Drosophila melanogaster: one gene and its partner. The gene in region 2 interacts genetically with the main gene of each other region. Each region holds a gene or a part of one and is shown on either strand. Other genes may lie near its edges.

Evidence for each region. A genetic interaction does not mean that the proteins touch.
Region 1: of Arp2 (region 2) and Abp1, changing one suppresses a phenotype caused by changing the other (phenotypic suppression), as found in Drosophila melanogaster (one study listed by BioGRID).

Annotation. Positions count from the first base shown.
Region 1 is NT_037436.4:13,484,601-13,488,358, reverse strand, and holds the start of Abp1 (actin binding protein 1), read left to right. Parts: upstream 1-2,078; 5' UTR 2,079-2,501; coding exon 2,502-2,756; intron 2,757-2,818; coding exon 2,819-3,270; intron 3,271-3,331; coding exon 3,332-3,508; intron 3,509-3,570; coding exon 3,571-3,758.
Region 2 is NC_004354.4:16,551,876-16,555,633, reverse strand, and holds the start of Arp2 (Actin-related protein 2), read left to right. Parts: upstream 1-1,682; 5' UTR 1,683-2,242; coding exon 2,243-2,290; intron 2,291-3,183; coding exon 3,184-3,294; intron 3,295-3,758. UniProt on the Drosophila melanogaster protein: Functions as ATP-binding component of the Arp2/3 complex which is involved in regulation of actin polymerization and together with an activating nucleation-promoting factor (NPF) mediates the formation of branched actin networks.

The sequences.
Region 1 (3,758 bases), on a different chromosome or scaffold from region 2:
TTAAATGTAATATGGCAAAATGTGATAACAAACAGCACCTCTGATTGGTAGCATACGAAGTATGTGAATAATAATCAGATTACATTTGGGAATTCATTAACTAGGCATGAAATCGTTTGCAAAACGTTTTGTTACATTTTGTTTCTTTATATAATGTGACTTTGATAGTCTAGAATATAATGATGTTTTTATGTAAGCAAAAATCTTGACATCTATTAAGACTTATCAGTTTAGCAGACTTGTAGAGTTTTCCAAGTTCATTCACATTAAATCCATTCAGAAATTATTTTAAATTTGTAAAGAGCTACTACTAATTTGAATCACTGCTTTACATTCCCATGAATGTTTTAGACGCAAGATGTTCATATTACTGGGCATTTCTTTCTGTGTCTGACACATTGTTGAAATACTTTCCGAGTCTTCTTGGCTCAAAGGTGAAAGCCATAAAAGAGCTGTGTATAACCCCCACCCCCACTGCCCCGTTTGGGTTGAGTACATCAGGGCATGTTGTTGGCCAAGTTGAAATCATAAAAATTGTCGACTCTTTTTAAACGGAATTGGTTAATGGCTCCAGTTGGTGTTTTTTTGTTGGTCTGTAAGTCTGGGTCGGATCGGTTTGTTCACTTACCGCTGGGATTGTTTTGCACCATGGTCGCCGCTCTAGAGAGTACATCCAGCGCCGTTTCCATGATGATCTCAACGCTTCTACGTGGGATTGGACGTGGATTTGGAGTTGGACTTGGACTTGGTTTCGCTGCTCCTGCACCGACTCGATCTGCACCGCATGAGTTTCACACTGAAAATGCAAAGAAATTGACCATGAACAGCCGCACCACACACACTTAAGCCGCACACACATCTCTCTCGTATGTGTGCCTTACAATATATACACCGAGATATCCAAGTGAAAAACTGGATATATCGCCCGAGCCTGGCATTGGCATATATGTAAATGGAACAAAACCAAAACCAAAGCCAAAACCAAACCAAAGCGAACAAAGACTGACTGCCTGACTGGCTGACTTGAAACAAGTAAGACGAAGGCGAAATCCTGCTGCCAAACAGTTGCCATCTGATCGGAAAGCTGTGGAAGTGGATGCTGATGAGGGGACATGCACGGTGGCGGGGCGGTGAGGGGCCACGATGCACTTGGGACTGGTTTTTTTCGGAGGCCCCAAGACCAAGAGTTCGGGGGCTGCTCCGTTGAATATTTCGGCAATGACCAAAGTACAGCAGCCAGAGCCATATTGTTGCTAGCCAGTCAGCCAACCATACAGCCAGCCAGCATCCGACGTCTAGTTTCCACATTAATATACGTAAATATCAGGCCACAACAGTGGAGCCACTTTACCTTTCGCCAGGTGTGCGCCTTCAAATCCTCGCTGGAATCCTGCTCCTCAGCTGTACGGCGATTTATCCTCGCTAATTTTCACCGACTTTTCACGATTTGCGCTGGGAAAAGCGGGGGTTCGATGATTTTTGGTATAATTGCAATAATAGTTCAGTTCGCGTTAGAGCTGGAAGATACGTCGATGTAACATCGATGGCCAAAGTCATCAGTCTGTATTCACATCGATATTTGCTCAGCCTTACCAACACTAATATTGTTCAGCGGTGACTTAAGCCCACATATAACATTAGCGTTGACTCGAACCATTTTTAGAAAACTTAATGTACAAACAATGTAAACATACCTAACAACCTAAAACATATTATTTGTCAATAGTATTTGCAAAGTATATTATAAGCAAATATAAAGGTTATGATATGAATAAACACCATATACCAGTTTTTTCCATTGGATAGAGATACAAAAAAGTTGAATAAAATATAAAAACGAAAAATGTTCGTATGTGTGATTATTAAAAAAGAAGATAATGCTTATATATATAGTTGAAACTTTACGACTAACACCTATAAGAAAAACGATAAAGTAAATCAAAGCCTATTAGACGAGGTACACGTTACTAGATACGTTCTAAAACCTCTGTTATTTAATTTCAATTTTACAAGTAAAAACCATCGATAGCGGCACAGTGGCAACATTGAAAGTATCGATTAGACATCGCCTGTTGTCCCAGCTCTAGTTTGTTGTTGCAAAAAAAGTGTGTGGGTCGCCGCCAGCGATCGAATATTTTAAAATTCCAATCAAATTGGTTAATTGGGGAGTTGCAATTGCTTGAGCGTTAAGTTAAACCTATTTCTGCACGCATAACTCGAAGGATTAAGGTGGAAAAGTGGAATTTGGAAAGCCGCTGGAAATTCGCACATACTGGAAAATCAATCACCCACTATCCCATTGTTCTGCTTGTGTTTGTGTACGTCTGTGTGCCTTTGTGAGGCGGCTGCACTTAATTAAAATTTAAGACAAGACAACCCAAGCAAATTTGGAGTCTTCGCGAGGCGTTGGCTTTCACTTGACGAAGAGGGCACCCCGATAAGGCGACCCAGTGAAAGCTGGCCAAGATCTCGCTGCTCAAGGTCGTTGTCAGTCTGGAATTATGGCCGTCAGCTTCGAGAAGAATCGGGCGCAAATAGTGGCCGCCTGGAAGGATGTGCTGGACGATAAGAGCGACACGAACTGGTCCCTCTTTGGCTACGAGGGTCAGACCAACGAGCTGAAGGTGGTGGCCACCGGCGATGGCGGCGTGGATGAGCTAAACGAAGACCTAAATAGCGGCAAGATTATGTACGCCTTCGTCCGAATCGAAGACCCCAAAACGGGCCTCAACAAGTACTTGCTCATCAACTGGCAGGTGAGTCCGACGGCGCCCTTATCTAATCGAGCTACGCATAATCTGACTGTGCTCCCATTCAGGGCGAGGGCGCACCTGTTCTACGCAAGGGTACCTGCGCCAACCACATACGTGATGTGAGTAATTTGCTGTCCGGCGCTCACCTTACCATCAATGCCCGGAACGAGGACGATATTGACTTGGATCGGCTTCTCAAGAAGCTGAGCACCGTGAGCTCAGCCTACAGCTTTAAGGAACCTCGAGGCGCCATGGAGGAGCAGAAGGCGCCGGTGGGAACCAACTATACTCGGGTCATTCCCACCAAGGAGTTAAACGCCAGCGTTATGCAGGACTTCTGGAAAAAGGAGGAGGCCGAGGAGAAATTGCGACAGGAGGCAGAGAAGGAATCCAAGCGGCTTGAGCTTCAAAAGTTGGAGCAGGAGCAACGTAGTCGCGAGGAGAAGGAGCACAAGGAGCGGGAGAAGTTGGTCATAAGCACCACCAAGCTCCAGCCGGCCCACGTACCCATCAAAACGTAAACAAAAACATCGGAATTTGACCTTCTCGGTAGTAAAAATTCTTTTTTTATCAAACAGGTCACCGCAACCTTTGAGCCCTGAGAAAACTGCACCAGGATTTGCCAACAATCTGACCGATGCGGAGCGCATGCGTCAGGCGAGGAACCAGGAGGCCCGCGAATTGATTGGCTCTCGTGTGGGTGCTGCCAAGGCCATGTTTACAAAGCACACGAGCGAGGGACAACTTCAGTCTAAGTGCGTCCTTGCCCCTCTCCTATTTTGTTGTATCAGAAATAAACTGCTCTTTTGATTCATAGACTAAATACGCAACCGCCGGCCAAACCAGCTCGCAACTCGATTGCCCAGCGCATCAACGTTTTCAACCAAAACCAGCCTCAAGATGCACCTGTGCCTTCACCACCACGCGCTGCGTCCCCTGCCAAACCGTTGCCTGTAGAGGCTCCCGAACCAGTAGTCCCCGCTCCAGCTATAGCTCCTGCTGCTC
Region 2 (3,758 bases):
GAGATACACCATATTTATATAGATATATATATAGCGTTTTTTTTTTTTGTTAATCCTCCACCACAACTATATAATTATTGAAAGTTGATGAAAGCTGTTGGGCCGTTTAAGTTTCAGAGTTTCTGTTCTATATGTGGTTAAAATTGTTAATGTTGTTACACCGCAAATGCATACTTAGTTAGTTAGTCGAGTGAAATGGGAGTTCCCCCAAATCACATTTAATTGCAATAGTCTCGAGTATTGAACGCCAAGAACACCAATTCCATAGAATGATTGTATACACTCAGAAAATCAATCGGCATTTATGTTCGAAAATCGCCGCAAATATTTTCAACAAGTATGGGTTTTTACGGATTTAAAATAATGAAATTGAAAACTAAATTCCATATTGTTAGGCTATAAACAAATGTTTCTATTGATGGACAACATTTCAGGTATAATTTTTGAAAAACAACAAATATTTATTTCAATTGTTAATACCAAAATACGCATAGGTCAACAATTAAGTTTTAATTTTTTTTTTTTAATATAGTTTAATTATCAAAGAACTATACATTTTAAGCCATTAAACGTAGGCAATATTCAGATAATTTTCTGAAATAAATTAATTGTAAATTTTGGATTCTCTTAGGGCGATTTGCATTCCGAGTGTATCAAGAGCCATGGTAAATAATAAAGCTAAGAAGTATTAATAATTCTACACTATGTATGACTAACAATACATTTGCTTAGTTCCCTCGATAAAGAAAGTACATAACTATTGCATGAGGCATAGGCAAAACTTCCTGGCACATAGTAAAAGTAAATAATTGAATAGAACGGCTGAGGAGGAGATGAGTAGATTTTGATAATATGTACGTCAAGACCATGCCAACATACTTATGGGAACTATTTAAAAAGCATTAAAACGTTCAATATAACACATAATACCCAGACAAAAGCAGAATCAAAAAATGCGGGAACGAGACGGCTGCATGGTATATACATACATATATAAGACATTTCGCCTCTTAAAGCAATTATAAAGATAACAAATGAGTAACGTTTATTATATTATTAAATTATACATACATATACATACTATATAAACGGAATAAAATAAATCAGCAACAAACTTTCCATTTTATGGCGTTCGATCACTTAACTTTTTATCCTTGGGAGCAGTATTGTCAAGTTATCATTTTTCTTCTTAATTGCTTAAATTACAATTCTTTAAATACATGCATGTATTCAATGATGGCGCCAAATTTTGAACCTGTTTTAAGTCTTAATTCAAGAATATTTTTCCAAGTATGAGAGTGAACGAGAGGCAAGAGCGCAAACGAAAAATACCAGAAATCAATGTGAGTATTTTGAAATTTCAGCAATTGCCGAATTGGTTTTTCAAATAGATGTGATTAGTTGTTAAATTGCCAAATCTTTAATCCAATAATTTAATTAATAAAGTCTTAATTGAATTGAAATTGTTTTGTGTAAATCCTGTGCAAGTAACATATATTACTAATAAACTTGTATTTTTTAATCTTTTTTAAATTGTTAAAAGTGGCACACAGACTAGTAAACTTAATTAACAAATTTGTAAAATAATAAAAAAATATAATTGGATCTAGTATCTAAACGGTTCTGGTATTTATTTTCGGTGTTTTGTACGCTTCAGTCCAACGCCGATAGTATCGAATATGCATCTATTTTTATTCAACTCTGGGGAGTAACGAGGGAGTTTTTGTACAGCAGTATAACTAAATTATAAGTATAAATAGTCGATAGCGGCAAACTGTTTCGGCCTAAATTTAATTGCGAGTCTAAATTAAGAGTTCAATTCCCAATAACCGCCAAACGAAGCGGCGATAAACGTAAGCGATAGAGTGGCGAAGAGAGCAAGGTTCCCGCCCGCGTGTTGTGAGAGTGTGCGAGTGGAAGAGGAAAGTGTATGATTAAGTACAATCGCTCTCCGGCGGTCCAAATACAAAAAAAGCCGAAAAGGAATCAATTAACAGTAGTGCTCAACAAACGGCCCAGGAAGTCAACAGGAAAGGCGATTGATGTGCAATATTTTGTTTGGTTTTATCGAGCAGAGGCGCTGCGAGCTGTGATTTCAAACCGAATCACAACCAACACCCAAAAAGGCAACCTGGTCGCGTCATCAGTGGAAGTGGAAAGGCAGTTGCCACAGCAGAGGCAGAAGCAACGGGAGTAGCAGAAGCAGTGGTTTTCCAGAGATCCGGTTTTGAGTCCTTCAAGCATGGACAGCAAGGGTCGAAATGTTATCGTCTGTGATAACGGCACTGGGGTAAGATAACGGGAAAGTCACCACCCGCACCGCCCACATCACCCACAAGCGGTGAAAACAGAGCGCACACACCCACACCATCACCAACGACTGGTGTGTGACACACATTTCGAGTGTTGTTGGCTGCGCTTCTTTCGTTTTCTTCTTCTTGTGGACTAAGCAGCGCTTCTGCTGCTGCTGCTTATTTCACTGCTTGCTGGCCAGCGGGCGTTGACGTCGCGGTTAGTCAAGCAGTTGCAGCAGTTGCAATTACGCGATTGCCTCTTCCTCTCCTTTATATTCCGCTTCCCCACTCTTCTTCTTGCTCTCCGCTTGACTAATCAGTGGATTACTCACGATTCCAGCGTTACTCAGTATCTCCCACACCTACATATTTGTCGAAAGAGCGACACTGGCACACACCAACACTTCCATAAAATTTCCGACAATCAGTTCTTATCGCAGGCCCAGAATTTTTGTATTGTGATAACGGTCCGATTTCGATAAGCGTCCGATAAACCACAACAGTAAAAGCGCAAGCAAATGCTGCACCGAGAAAAATGATTTAGCTGGTCCTAAACCAAATAATCAAAACTAATTCAAAAATTTTTGTTTTGTGATAACGGTCCGAATTCGATAAGTCACAGCAGTAAAAACGCAAGGAAATGCTGCACCGGGAAAAATGATATAGCTGGTCTTAAACAAAATGATTAAAAATAATTATTTATTATTATTATGTGCAATTTTTAAGTACCTGTTGATACAAAAGCATTTTAAATTATCATATTACGTGTTAGGGCTTAACTCAAATAATAATATATGTACATATGTCGGCTGTCATATTATTTTAATGTGTTTCCACATACACCATAATATAAATATATGTATTTATGACATCTCCATTTATTTTTCAGTTCGTTAAGTGCGGATATGCCGGCAGCAATTTCCCCACCCACATTTTTCCCTCGATGGTGGGACGACCCATGATTCGGGCGGTCAACAAAATCGGCGATATCGAAGTCAAGGTATGATCCATCGTACTTACCAATTAAAGTATCTAAAATTAATTAACAATATGATGAGATAGTACAACCATATACACTACACAAATTCAATTGTGCACAGGCCATCAAATACACGAATATCCATATATTATATCATTTTTTTTTTCGATGTAACTACTCCATGACTAGTTAAACGGCAAGAAATACATTTAGCGCATAGAAGTTCACTATCCACCAAATTACCCACCATATTTTTTCACCCCTAACCCATCTGATTTTGGAGTGGAATTGCTCTATTTTCTATTCTGTCTATTAGTGTCGCATATCTACTTACTTCTATATAATTTGTTTTCGATCTACCCCATTCGCATATCGTTTCATTTACCATCTTGATTTCATCACTTCTGGGGGTCACTTATCCCAATATTGCATTTTTGCTTGAGTTGCATTGGTCTCGGTGTGTGGGCCCTCATATTATTATACAC